3 linked regions of the Macaca mulatta genome follow. The protein of the gene in region 1 interacts with the protein of each later gene in a biochemical or structural test. Links are inferred from orthologs where the notes say so. Each region holds a gene or a part of one and is shown in the gene's direction. Other genes may lie near its edges.

Region 1 (4,421 bases):
TAATTGTTTTAGAGTCCTCATTGGCTAATTTCATCATCTTGTTTCTGGGATGGTTTCAGCTGATTTATTTCACTCTGGTTTCAGGTCACATTTTCTTTCTTCACGTTTCTATTAATTTTTTATTGGATACTGGACATTGTTAATTTTATATGATTGAGTGGTGGAATTTTTTTTTCTGCTTCTTTTAAAGAATCTTGGACTTTGTTTAGACAAGTGGTTGAGTTACACATGGACCAACTCCATCCTTTTGAGCCTTGTTTTAAGCTTTGTTAGGAAGCATCTAGAATATCATTTACTCTAGAGCTTATTTAGCTCTGCTACTAAGATAAGAGTCTTTTGAGGTTTCTAGTGAATTCTTAGTTTTTCAACAAGGAAGACTTCTAGTCAGAACCATATGACTCTGGGAATTGTTCCACCTGTAAATCTCTATTTATTCTTTGCCTTACTTTTTGAAGTTAGTCTGTGTGCTGGGCTTAGTGCTTAGCCAGACTCAAGTGAATCCTTATGCCGATTTCTGGAATTTTATATGCTTAGCTTCCACTTCTCTGGCACACTTCTAAGCTCTGCTTGAGTTCTTTCTCCCTTCACCATAGTCTGAAAAGTGCCTCTAGGCAGAAAGCCAGGGCAGGTTAGGTCTCACTTCATTTCTTTTGCATCTCAGAAATCACAGTCCTACACTGCTTGTTATCCAATATCTAAAAAGAGTTTTATATTTTTTTGTTCACTGTTCTGGCTGTTATTGTGAGTTGAAAAGTCTGTTTCTAGTTATTCCACCATGGCCATTGAAAATTATTTCCTGTCTTTATACCTTTTAAGATAACCATGGAGATAAAAAATAAAGTTTATGTTCCTTTTATTTTCTCTGGCCATTTGGGCCTTATGTCGTGTATTGCTAATAACTGCCTATAGTGTTTAGCAATTTCATCTGATCTCTTGTTCACATCTTTAATTATTTTCAAGATGACACTTTAAATGGTTCAGCTATAATACAATAATGAACAAAATAGTGTAGAATTACTGTAGAATATTTTAAGCAAGTAAAATAGCCTGTACATTATATTAAAGCTCATGAGTGAATATTTTTTAAAAGTACATAAGTTGTTTAAATGATAGCTTTGCAAAGAATTAGGTTTATCATTGTAGTCATAAGATTATCAACTGTTGGATTTAATCATCTTGTTTTTAATCAAAGATTCTTAGAAGTAATATGAACATAATTGATGCCTAGTCAAAGATGATCTTCAGTGAATTAAAATGTCTGAAAGTAATCCTATAAACTTATGTTAAAATCTGTATGGATTTTTGCCATGTAGCTTCTGTTGTCCATTTGATAGTCTTACAAGGAAAAAACAAAACAAACTCCTATATTTGATGTAGCAGTTGTACGTTATTAGGCTGTTAGTATGTTTCTTAATCTTTGATTTTTTTGTTTGTTTGTTTTTCAGATCGTCAGTATTTAAACAGATCACATCATGCGTGAGTACAAGCTAGTGGTCCTTGGTTCAGGAGGCGTTGGGAAGTCTGCTCTGGTAAGTTAGCCACCTAACTGTAACTGATTAGTATAATACAAGAAGAATTTTGATATTTCCTTGCTTTCAGACTTCTAGACACCAAAGAGAAAAAGTGGCATTATTATATATCTGGTATCTGCCCCACAAAGGACGGGAAATCATTTAATAACCACAGATATACACTTTTATAATGTTGGCTCATTTATTCTTACATTTATCAATTATTTATTGACTGTCTTACATGGCAAGCACCAGTGTTTATGATTCAGAGAGGAGTAAGATTGTTCTCATTTTTAAGGAATTTACATTGTAGTGGGGGAAACTGATTATTACAGATTCTATTGGGATAATTCCTCACCTGCTTCCACTCTAGACTTACATGGAATGAAGGTCATTTTTTGTGTTCATGCTGTTTTTATTTAGTAAATAGTTACTGAGCTTCTACAATGTCAGATTCTAGGGTCACAGGAGTGAACAAAAACAGTCATAGTTTCTCATGGAGCTTGCATTGTAGTGGAGGAGATGTGATAAATACACAATTAAACAAAGAACTCCTTGGTTATACTTGTGAGAGAGATACTCTGAAAAAAAAATACGGATTAATTTAGAAGAAAGGCAGAGTGGATGTGGGAGACAAATTGGGAGTTAATACAGTATACCAGATCATTGTTTATGGAACCTTGGATTAAAACCATGGCAGTGAAGAAGAGAGAAGAGAAGTAGATGTTTGAGGATTGAGTAAGTGGTAGAACTGACGTAAGTTGGTGCTAGATTGATACGGGGACTAGGAGAGAAGGAGCTGTCAAGGATGGCTCCCAGGTTTCTAGTTTGAGCTACTATTATGGATGGATTAAAAAAAGAAGGGAAACAGTGGAGAATGAGCAGTGAGAGTCCAAATCAAAGAGTCAAGCCAGATTTTATGTTTGTGACATGTTGAAGTAATAAAAGAGAGAGACCGGTGATATGACTTTGGGTGCCATCAATATGGTGATGATATTTAATTTCATGAGAGTTACATTACTGTTAGGTGTGTAAATTAGTGCCTTTGTCGAGAATGTTTGAGAATATCTGTCATTTTTAATGGCATATAACTTTCAATTCAAAGATTCCTTTTCTAAAAATGTAGCCCACATATAAGTTCACATGTGCAAAATGGCGTGGTCAGGGAACATTGCAACATTCTTTACAGTGACCAAGTGACCAGAGTCTGGAAACAACCTAAATGTGTTCCATTAAGGGGCTAGTTAAGTAAATTTTAATACATTTTCAGAGTAGAATACAGCCATTAGAAAGAATGCAATAGCTCTATATATACCAATATGTAATGATATCCAAGATGTATTACAGAGAAAAAAGGTACTAAACAGTGTAGACTATAATTTGTGTTTTATATTAAAAAAAGTGTAGGCTGAGGGCAGATAGCTGTAAAATCATAGAGTATCTCTGCAAGGTTAAATAAGCTATGGGTAATATCAGTTACTTTCTTGGGAGTGGGACTGGATAGCTGGGAACAAGGGTGGTAGATAAGCTTAGTTCACTGCATAGCCTTTTATGCCTTTTGAATTTAGTGCTATGTCCATGAATCACCTTTTCAGAAATAATTTTGGAAAAAAATCCACAGGAGTGAAAGAGGTCTAGGGAGATACTAGAGAGAGAAGAGCAGAGCCCAGTACTGAGCTCTGAGTACCTCTCAACCTTTAGGAAGTGGGTAGGATTGGAGGATCTAGCATAGAAGGTGTCTTTACTTGATTGCTCAAAAGTCAAGTAAAAAAGAGGAAAGAGATGATCAGAGAGCATAGAGGTAGTGGGACATGGTAAAGAAAGCAGCTTTAGTCAGGTCATGTTGCCATAAGCATAGTGGGGTGGGTTGAAGAGCAAATGAGAGCTGAGGAAATGGAATATAGACATTTGAAGAAGCTTGATTATAAGAGGAGACAGAGAATGGGGGCAGAAGCTGGAGAGATATTGGGGTTAAGGGAGGTTTTTGTTTTTGTTTTAGAATTGGAGATAGTAAAGCATATTTGTATGCTGGGGCAATTCCTCTCCACTGGAGAGGAAAATGAGGATACAAGAGAGGAAAAGAGATGATCCAGTACAAAAACCTGAGGAATAAAATTATAATCTATGTGAATCAATGAATGAGATGTCCCTGAAAATTAAGACAGAGGATAAGTTTCAGAGGAGTAGTAAAACATTACTTTTAGTAAGAAAGAAATGAGAAGTGTTGGATTGTTTTGCATTTGTGCAAGTCTTATTAATGTCTGGTTTATAGAAGGCACATGGGCTCTTATGCCTGCTTCTGTATCCAGTCTCTTGGAATAGCAAATGTTCTACTTTGGAAGATTCCACTGTAAACTTATGAGAGAAGAAGAAGAGTACATCTTAGTATTGTTAGGAAGATAGTTTGGCCTTGGGGAGCCTCTGTCTTGGACCGTATTTTGAGAACCTCTGTTCTAGCCTAAAGCATATTAGGAAGCCATATTAGACTGCCTTTTTTTCTTTTTTCCGCCCAGGCGGGAGTGCAGTGGCGAGATCGCGGCTCACTGCAGGCTCCGCCTCCCGGGTTGACGCCATTCTCCTGCCTCAGCCTCCCGAGTAGCTGGGACTACAGGCTCTCACCACTGCGCCCAGCTAATTTTTTTTTTTTTTTTTTTTTTTTTTTGAGACAGAGTCTCGCTCTGTCGCCCAGGCTGGAGTGCAGTGGCCGGATCTCAGCTCACTGCAAGCTCCGCCTCCTGAATTTACGCCATTCTCCTGCCTCAGCCTCTGGAGTAGCTGGGACTACAGGCGCCCGCCACCTCGCCCGGCTAGTTTTTTTTGTATTTTTTAGTAGAGACGGGGTTTCACCGTGTTAGCCAGGTGGTCTCGATCTCCTGATCTCGTGATCCGCCCGTCTCGGCCTCCCAAAGT
Region 2 (3,975 bases), on another chromosome or scaffold:
CGCCCAGGCTGGAGTGCAGTGACACGATCTGGGCTCACTGCAAGCTCCGCCTCCCGGGTTCACGCCATTCTCCTGCCTCAGCCTCCCGAGTAGCTGGGACTACAGGCGCCCGCCACCTCGCCTGGCTAGTTTTTTGTATTTTTTTTAGTAGAGACGGGGTTTCACCGTGTTAGCCAGGATGGTCTCGATCTCCTGACCTCATGATCCGCCCGTCTCGGCCTCCCAAAGTGCTGGGATTACAGGCTTGAGCCACTGTGCCCGGCCTAGGTTTTAAAAAAAAAAAAAAATAGGAAAAATTTTCATCAATGTAAAACTTCTAAAATGCAAATAATTTATTTTTCAGTTTAGAAATATGGATTAATATTTGGCAGCTGGAATATTCCCTTTATCCTACCATGCCATTTATTGTTGGAAGGTTCCTTCTGTTTGTTTTAAAGTTATTATTCAAATCTAACCCTTCAAATGGGAGAATTTATATTTTCATTAGAAAACATCAACTATTTTGGAAACATGCCAAATAATCTTTTTAATAACTTTAGTGGTGAAATAGATTGAAAGTTGTGATGGCATCTAATACTTTTATGCCATATCTTAAGGAAATACTGTTACCAGCCTCGTAGAGGTTAGGCCCTATTTACATAGGGAAAGTGGTTGATGCTTAAAATAATAATCCACCATGGGATATAAATGAAATAATTTTTATTTCATGTTAAATTTGTTTTTTTACTTTTCATGGGCATTTTAATAAAATGTGTAAATGTGTGTCTGGGATGAGACTTGCTAAACATATTTCCTGTAAACGCCATGTCTGTCTTTATTGAAGTGCACCATGACATTTCTTTTGTTTGTTTTTATACTAACCCTGCTGGCACATTAATTCTTACCAGAAGCCAAAGTGATTTCGGGGCTTTCGCTTTCATTATGCTGTCTGCCAGGGCAGTGTTTTATAATCAGATTTGTGCGTGCATGTGTGCACGTGGGGGCGGGGGAGAGAGATGGGGGAGGAGTGGGCGAACTCACTGAAGTATCATTGATCACGTTCTACTATTTGCAAGACCGTTTCCTAAATTGGCTGTAACTCACTGAAGGCGAACAGACCAGGGAAAATATTAAGTGCACTCAGAAAAGATTACTTTGCTAATCTGGGTTTCTAGTGCCTTTCTACAGCCAGCCAATGCAGTGCAAAACATTTGGGAATTACTAAGGATCTTTTTGCTTCTGTCGGTTTAGAACCCGTTTGCAGAAAATGAGGAATCACAGCAAAGGTCGATGAGGATTTTGGGAATGAACACTTGGGATCTTGCTCTGGAATTAATGAATTTTGATTGGAGTCTATTCAATTCAATTCACGAGGTACGTGAGGAGTGAAAAGAAAATACAAATGCTGTTTTGACTGTGAATTCTTTGTGCAGAATATCAGTGCATGCGGTGATGAAATTATACTAGAATAACATGGTCCAAAAGATACTTGGGGACTTTAAATATATTGAAAGACTGACGCAAGTCTAAAAAAATCAGAATATGCAAGCATGCTTTTATTTGTTCCGAGTGTGAGCATATGCTTGTGTAATGTATAAATATGCTATATTTCACATGTATAAATATATATATATGTATTTGGAGATTAGGCTCTAATGGGGTTGATTAACCATTTCACCTTTGATATTGATAGCTTTATTTTTTCCATGAAGTTTATGATAGTTGTACAAGAATCATATTCATATTTATTTATGTACACACATATGCATCTTTTAACTTAAGAACATTCTACAAGTTTAGACTGCATTGTAAGATTTAAAGTACTTTATTGAAAATTTTAGATATATTTCAAGTTTTTATGTCCATCAGTTTTTCACTTAAGGACAGATTATGACATTTTTAAAACGATAGATTGGGAGCAAAATGCTAGCGACAATTCTTGAGTACATTTGGCCAGAGGAAACGCTCACGGGAATCAAGAGATGAAAAATGGTAGAGGCCTCTGCAACCATATGTTGCATTTGTTTTGCCATGTAGTAAAATTTTTCATTCTGAAGTGGCCTTTCCTTCTGAAGAAGGAACCTCACGCCCAATTTAGAGACCCAAATGTCCTCGTATTTTCTCATTAAACAGATTTCAATATTGTGATCAGAATGTGAGCAAGTAGTGAATTCCTTCAGGCTAAATGACTTGTGTCTTTGGAAATGTTAGTAGACTAGGATATATCCCTGCTTATGCAGTGGAAGAATGTAGATTACCTCTGTAAAACACACACACACGCACACATACACATTTAAAAACAAATCTATTGCTTTGCACATGATCCATCTATATAAATAGTTACTGGTCTTGTTTGCTTTCATAAATTATTAGACCTTGCCCTAATCTCATTCTCTTTCCATTTATGGTTTGACAATGTTTTACATCAGTGGTTTTTAAAGAGCAGATACTCAGACCAGCATCATCAGCGGGACTTGGGTACTTGTTAGAAATGCAGATTTCCGGCCCCTCCACACCCCTGCAGGATCAGAGGTTCTAGGGGTGGGATCCAGCAGTCTGTGCTTCAGCAGTCCTCCAGGTGATCCTGATTCACACCAAAATTTGAGGACCACTGTCTTAGAGAACAGACCTGTGAGGGTCTGATGTGCACCTTAACAAATACTGGTAGTACTAGTGTTCATTTTCACTTGAATTTTTCAACAGGACAAGGTTCGGAAATTTGGGGATTCCATTTATCCTATGATTTAAACTTCAGAATATCTTAGATTTGTATATAAAGATGTCTTCCTTACATTCTGAAAAATCACTTATATAAAACACAAAAATCACAAAAAGCATTATTGAATGAGGCACCTCTAAAACTGAGTCGTTTTGAATTTAATATATTACTGTTCGCCATATTCTCCGTTAGCATATTAATAATATGGGAGGGACTACCTGAAGTAGCTCTTAAAATTTGACCGAATTTTGTATCAACTGTACTTTGCTATAAATAAACCCTGGCATGAATACATTTTCTTTCAGCAAGAGCTGATCTACTTCACATTCAGCAGACAGGGAAGTGGGGAACACACTGCAAACCTCAGCCTTCTGCTCCAGAGATGCAATGAGGTCCAGCTCTGGGTGGCCACGGAGATTCTCCTCTGCAGCCAGCTGGGCAAGCGAGTGCAGCTGGTGAAAAAATTCATCAAAATTGCGGCTCAGTAAGTTTCTAGTGTGAGAAGTGCCATTCCTCTAGTCTCCTTGAGAGAGCACATTGTTTTTCTTTTTGTCTTATGGTGATAAGGGTTGGGATATAAACATGTAATATGGAGTTAAATGACCAAATGGCTGAAAAGGTCCATTTTTGAATATTTATGTCTTTGCATTTCAAGTATTTATACCTTAAAGTAAATGTCAAAATATCAGACAGAAGCACTATGCCCTCTGCCTCAGCACTAGTAAGCAGGCAGTACACACATCCTTCGTCTTGCAGCTGAACTGCAGGGTGCCTGGGTGAGCTACAGGAGGCTAGAAAAAAGGAGATGATGATGTGCAGAAGTGGGAATCATTGCACGTCAGGTGCATTGTAGGACCCGTTCATTGCTCCTTGAGGCCCACAGTATGAACTTTTGAGAACTCGTTCATTCAAAGGCCCTGCACTGGCTGGCCCCACCCCCTGAGCCTCACCCCCGGGTGCACCCCATGCTCTAGCCACTCTAAATGTCTGTCTCTCCCATGAGCACCATCTTCCAAGTGTGAATACTTGTCGGCTTTGCGAAGAATGGCCACTGGCATTCAGCAAATTGCTGCCATTCTTCAAGACCTCAGTCAAGTATTACTTCCTTCCTGAAGTTACCCCTGATTTTCAAATGCAGGGGTACTACTTCCACTACTGCCTCTACTTCCCCTCGCACACATATACTTTTTACCTTATGGAAACTTATTATATTTATTCAATTTATCTGTTTACATAGGATTTCTTCACTAGGCTATATTCGCTTTCAAAGAACAGGG
Region 3 (3,975 bases), on another chromosome or scaffold:
AAGAGGATGAAGATCATTAAGCATTTCATCAAGATAGCACTGCACTGTAGGGAATGCAAGAATTTTAACTCAATGTTTGCAATCATTAGGTAAGAGAACACATTTTTCTTAAGATTCAGTTCAGTTCACAGATTTAAAATATGTATCAGTCCAGGAACATCGTATAATTAGTATAAATGCAGTAGATTTTAATTGACTCATAAGGGACAATTCTTTTTCTCTGAATCCTAACCTTAATTGAAAATCTCTCGTACCAACAAAACCAGCTGTGCCAACCTGAAGAGATTCGAAGAAGCCATTAGGCAGGAAACATTTTGGTAGCATCTGAAGTTCTGATTTGGAGCTCCGAAAATCTATATCCCCCACTTTTTTTTTTTTTAAGTTTGTTTCAACTTTTCTCAATATCAGTTTACTTTTCTGTGGAAATAACAATACCCCAAAGAGTTATCAACAAGATTAATGATATCATGTATGCGGAGTTCCATCAAATAGCACAAAGCAGTTGGCCAGGAAATGTTAATTTTCTTCCCTTTTTTTAAGAGCTTAGATTGAGGTTAGAAGAAAAAAAAAATGGCAACAATTAGTTATGTTGCTATTGAGGGTGATTATTAAATGAGTCATTTTCTCTGTCTGGGAGTTTAGTCATACTCTCATTACTATCATAGCTTATTTTATTACTAGAGGATATTTGCTCAGTCGGTTTTATCAAAAGGCCGCTATGGGCTAAGCACTGGTATGTATACATACTGCTATGTATGGATACAAAGCATCAATACTTATATTCAGGTGGTTTTGCTGATAGTAAACAGATGAGGAGGGTCTATAGGGAAGAGGAGAGTAAAACGCCTTGGCTTGACCCTGACCCTACTTCCCTGTGCCATCTCATTCCCCAGAATTATCATCAACAGTTTCTTATGCAGCCTTCTGTAAATTGTTTTGCATATAAAGCATAAACAAGGAGGTGTTATGTGTCAATAAATAATCTGTACACTATTTTACTTTAGTTGTTATATCACATTTCTTTTTCTCCTCTCAGTGGCCTAAACCTGGCACCAGTGGCAAGACTGCGAACAACCTGGGAGAAACTTCCCAATAAATACGAAAAACTATTTCAAGATCTCCAAGACCTGTTTGATCCTTCCAGAAACATGGCGAAATATCGCAATGTTCTCAATAGTCAAAACCTACAACCACCCATAATCCCTCTGTTTCCAGTTATCAAGAAGGATCTCACCTTCCTTCACGAAGGTAAACATAAGGCAGAGGGTTTCCATCTTTGCTTGGAGAAGCACAGAATAAATGCCATGTGATTTCCTTTTTCTTCTCTGTCAATTTCAGGAAATGACTCAAAAGTAGACGGGCTGGTCAATTTTGAGAAGTTAAGGATGATCGCAAAAGAAATTCGTCACGTTGGCCGAATGGCTTCAGTGAACATGGACCCAGCCCTCATGTTCAGGACTCGGTGAGTATGTCATCTTCAGTGCCACGTGTGAGAGTAGAGAAGGTTAAATTTAGAGCTTCCCAATAAATGATTTTTTAAAAGTTTGAGTATTTACATTTGTCCTACGGCAGAAATTATAGTAGGATGTGCTGAGAATCACCTGTGAGCTCTAATTTGGAATAAATGTCTTATTCCTTATAAAGTGTTCTTTTGGCTGTCAGTAAAAACAGTTTGTCCTTCAGATATTTTCAGTGTAATAGTCACAATTATGTATTTCTTATTTCTCAGAACACTGACTTGTAGAGCTAAAACTCATAACTAGTAGTATGAACTAAAATATGTAAATATCCGAAATAGTCTTGTCTTAATATCCACACAACAGATTTAGCTAGCAGTGTAGTAAAAAGTGATTAATTCAGTGAAAGAGAGAAAAGTCGGTCTTAATTCTAGAACAAAAAATTTAAATATATTTGTCTTTTAAGCTAGAAAAATATTTCTAGTAAAGTTGCGTGTGTGAGGTGATTATGCAGTTTAATGTTTGTGGGCTTCTAGAACTGCTTATCCAGAAGTCTAGTCCTTTCTTTCTGAGCTTGTGATCTTTCTGTCTCTCTTTCTACACCCATGCTTCAATCTCCATGGCTCTCACTTACAGGAAGAAGAAATGGCGGAGTTTGGGGTAAGTGGTGGAGACCTTGCATACCCACACACAGTCCTTATTCTGCTCATTGTATTGTTTTCTTACCTGCTGTATTTTCTGATGCTTTGCATTTTTGCATTTTTTTCCTTAACCCTCTTGCTGTAGCAGAATTTCAGACGGCAAACTGACTTCAAGTTTAATCTGTTGGGGCTTTTGCTTTTGAAGTCATGATCCATGAGAGCTGTGAAATGATTGATGACTGTTCTGGGGAACTATAGGCCAGTTTTTCTGAACTCTTAGAAAGATTTTATTTTAATATAATTGGTGTGTCTTGAAATGCGGAAAGCTCAAAGTAGGGGGAGGGGAGGAAGGATATTAGAAGGAAAAATTGTACAATTAAAATATTTCACAGATATGTGAGAAATAAATATTTTTAATATAAAATAGGTGCCCCCAGGTGTTAAACCCAAATTTTTTACAGCTCAACTAACTACTATTTTCATTCTGTATAAACCAATCCTTTTTAAAAATAATTCTTAACAATTCATGTGCTCAATAGTTTCCATACATACATGTTTACATTTGCATGATTGTTTTATTAACAGATTGACCGTATTACTTTAAAAACTCACTACATTCAACTCAAGGAATAAGAAGACAATTGTGAACATTGTAGTTAATTTTATTTAAATATATATATAATATCCTCTTTAGGGGAAGTAATCTTAATGTTGCAAATCTTAATGATTATAGCTGTGTATTCTTGCATGAGCTTTTATATGTAATTATTATTTTCTGGCATCTGTGAGAGAACTGCCTTAAATGCTCTATAGAGGTGAAAAGTAGAATTTCCTAGTTCGAACTGAACAGGTGCCAAACATATATTTTTATATGTATATTATGTATAATTTTCTTTTAACTAAATTTTTTTAATCTATATTATTCTATATTCCTGTGTAACAGTTTACTCACTGGAATGAAGCATGTGACCTTTTGAACATAGAATATTAATATCAGTCTTGGCACGTTTTAAATAGATAAAGTACTCCCATGCTAGAGTGAGCTGCATATCTACCTTTTCATCTTCCAGGTCTCTCAGCCAGGGTAGTACAAACGCAACAGTGCTAGATGTTGCTCAGACAGGTGGTCATAAAAAGCGGGTACGTCGTAGTTCCTTTCTCAATGCCAAAAAGCTTTATGAAGATGCCCAAATGGCTCGAAAAGTGAAGCAGTACCTTTCCAATTTGGAGCTAGAAATGGACGAGGAGAGTCTTCAGACATTATCTCTGCAGTGTGAGCCAGCAACCAACACATGTGAGTTTTTCCTTAAAGTGGCTGCCGACTTTGGCTAGAATGCAGATTTGTTTCCTGTACAGTGATATGGGCAGTGACAAAATAAGGCTTAGTGCAGAGGGGGAGCTGGCAATCATGAGATATACTAGTCCTTCCCTTGAATGCTAATATTGAATACTGGATAGCACTGTGCGCGGCCAGGCCCTCAGGTCAGCTGGGTTAGTGTGTGGAGGATGACACTGTCCACATCTAGGGCAACCCGTTGCTTTAGTTTCACCTGGACACAGCCAGTACACATGCAAGGGGCGCATATGTAGATATGGCTCCCAATTATGTGTCTTGTGTTCTCAGAAAGGTGCCCCCAAATTATGGGCACCCTGAGGGGAGTCGGGGCATAAAGTTGAGTGTGCTGGCTGCCTTTTAACCACTAGCCCAGACAACACCCAACAAGAAATTCACCTACCAGTTAGAGCAATAATTCTGCTCCACAATGAACTACAATAGCCATTAAAAATCGGGTTAGTCTATAAATGGGGCAGTTTTTTTTTGCTAAATCTGCATCTTGACAAAGGCATTTTCCATTCAATACACTCCTGTGTCTTTT

What was found.
Region 2: of the proteins of RAP1A (region 1) and RAPGEF5, one has a biochemical effect on the other in vitro, tested with the Homo sapiens proteins (2 studies listed by BioGRID). The link is inferred for Macaca mulatta from reciprocal best matches to the Homo sapiens genes RAP1A and RAPGEF5.
Region 3: the proteins of RAP1A (region 1) and RAPGEF2 form a complex in vitro, tested with the Homo sapiens proteins (2 studies listed by BioGRID and IntAct, with this or other methods). The link is inferred for Macaca mulatta from reciprocal best matches to the Homo sapiens genes RAP1A and RAPGEF2.

Annotation. Positions count from the first base shown.
Region 1 is NC_133406.1:128,545,697-128,550,117, reverse strand, and holds the start of RAP1A (ras-related protein Rap-1A), read left to right. Parts: upstream 1-1,445; 5' UTR 1,446-1,472; coding exon 1,473-1,529; intron 1,530-4,421. UniProt on the Homo sapiens protein: Counteracts the mitogenic function of Ras, at least partly because it can interact with Ras GAPs and RAF in a competitive manner. Together with ITGB1BP1, regulates KRIT1 localization to microtubules and membranes.
Region 2 is NC_133408.1:106,155,169-106,159,143, forward strand, and holds part of RAPGEF5 (rap guanine nucleotide exchange factor 5), read left to right. Parts: intron 1-1,230; coding exon 1,231-1,353; intron 1,354-3,003; coding exon 3,004-3,182; intron 3,183-3,975. UniProt on the Homo sapiens protein: Guanine nucleotide exchange factor (GEF) for RAP1A, RAP2A and MRAS/M-Ras-GTP. Its association with MRAS inhibits Rap1 activation.
Region 3 is NC_133410.1:167,886,449-167,890,423, forward strand, and holds part of RAPGEF2 (rap guanine nucleotide exchange factor 2), read left to right. Parts: coding exon 1-89; intron 90-1,036; coding exon 1,037-1,248; intron 1,249-1,338; coding exon 1,339-1,462; intron 1,463-2,093; coding exon 2,094-2,117; intron 2,118-3,168; coding exon 3,169-3,392; intron 3,393-3,975. UniProt on the Homo sapiens protein: Functions as a guanine nucleotide exchange factor (GEF), which activates Rap and Ras family of small GTPases by exchanging bound GDP for free GTP in a cAMP-dependent manner.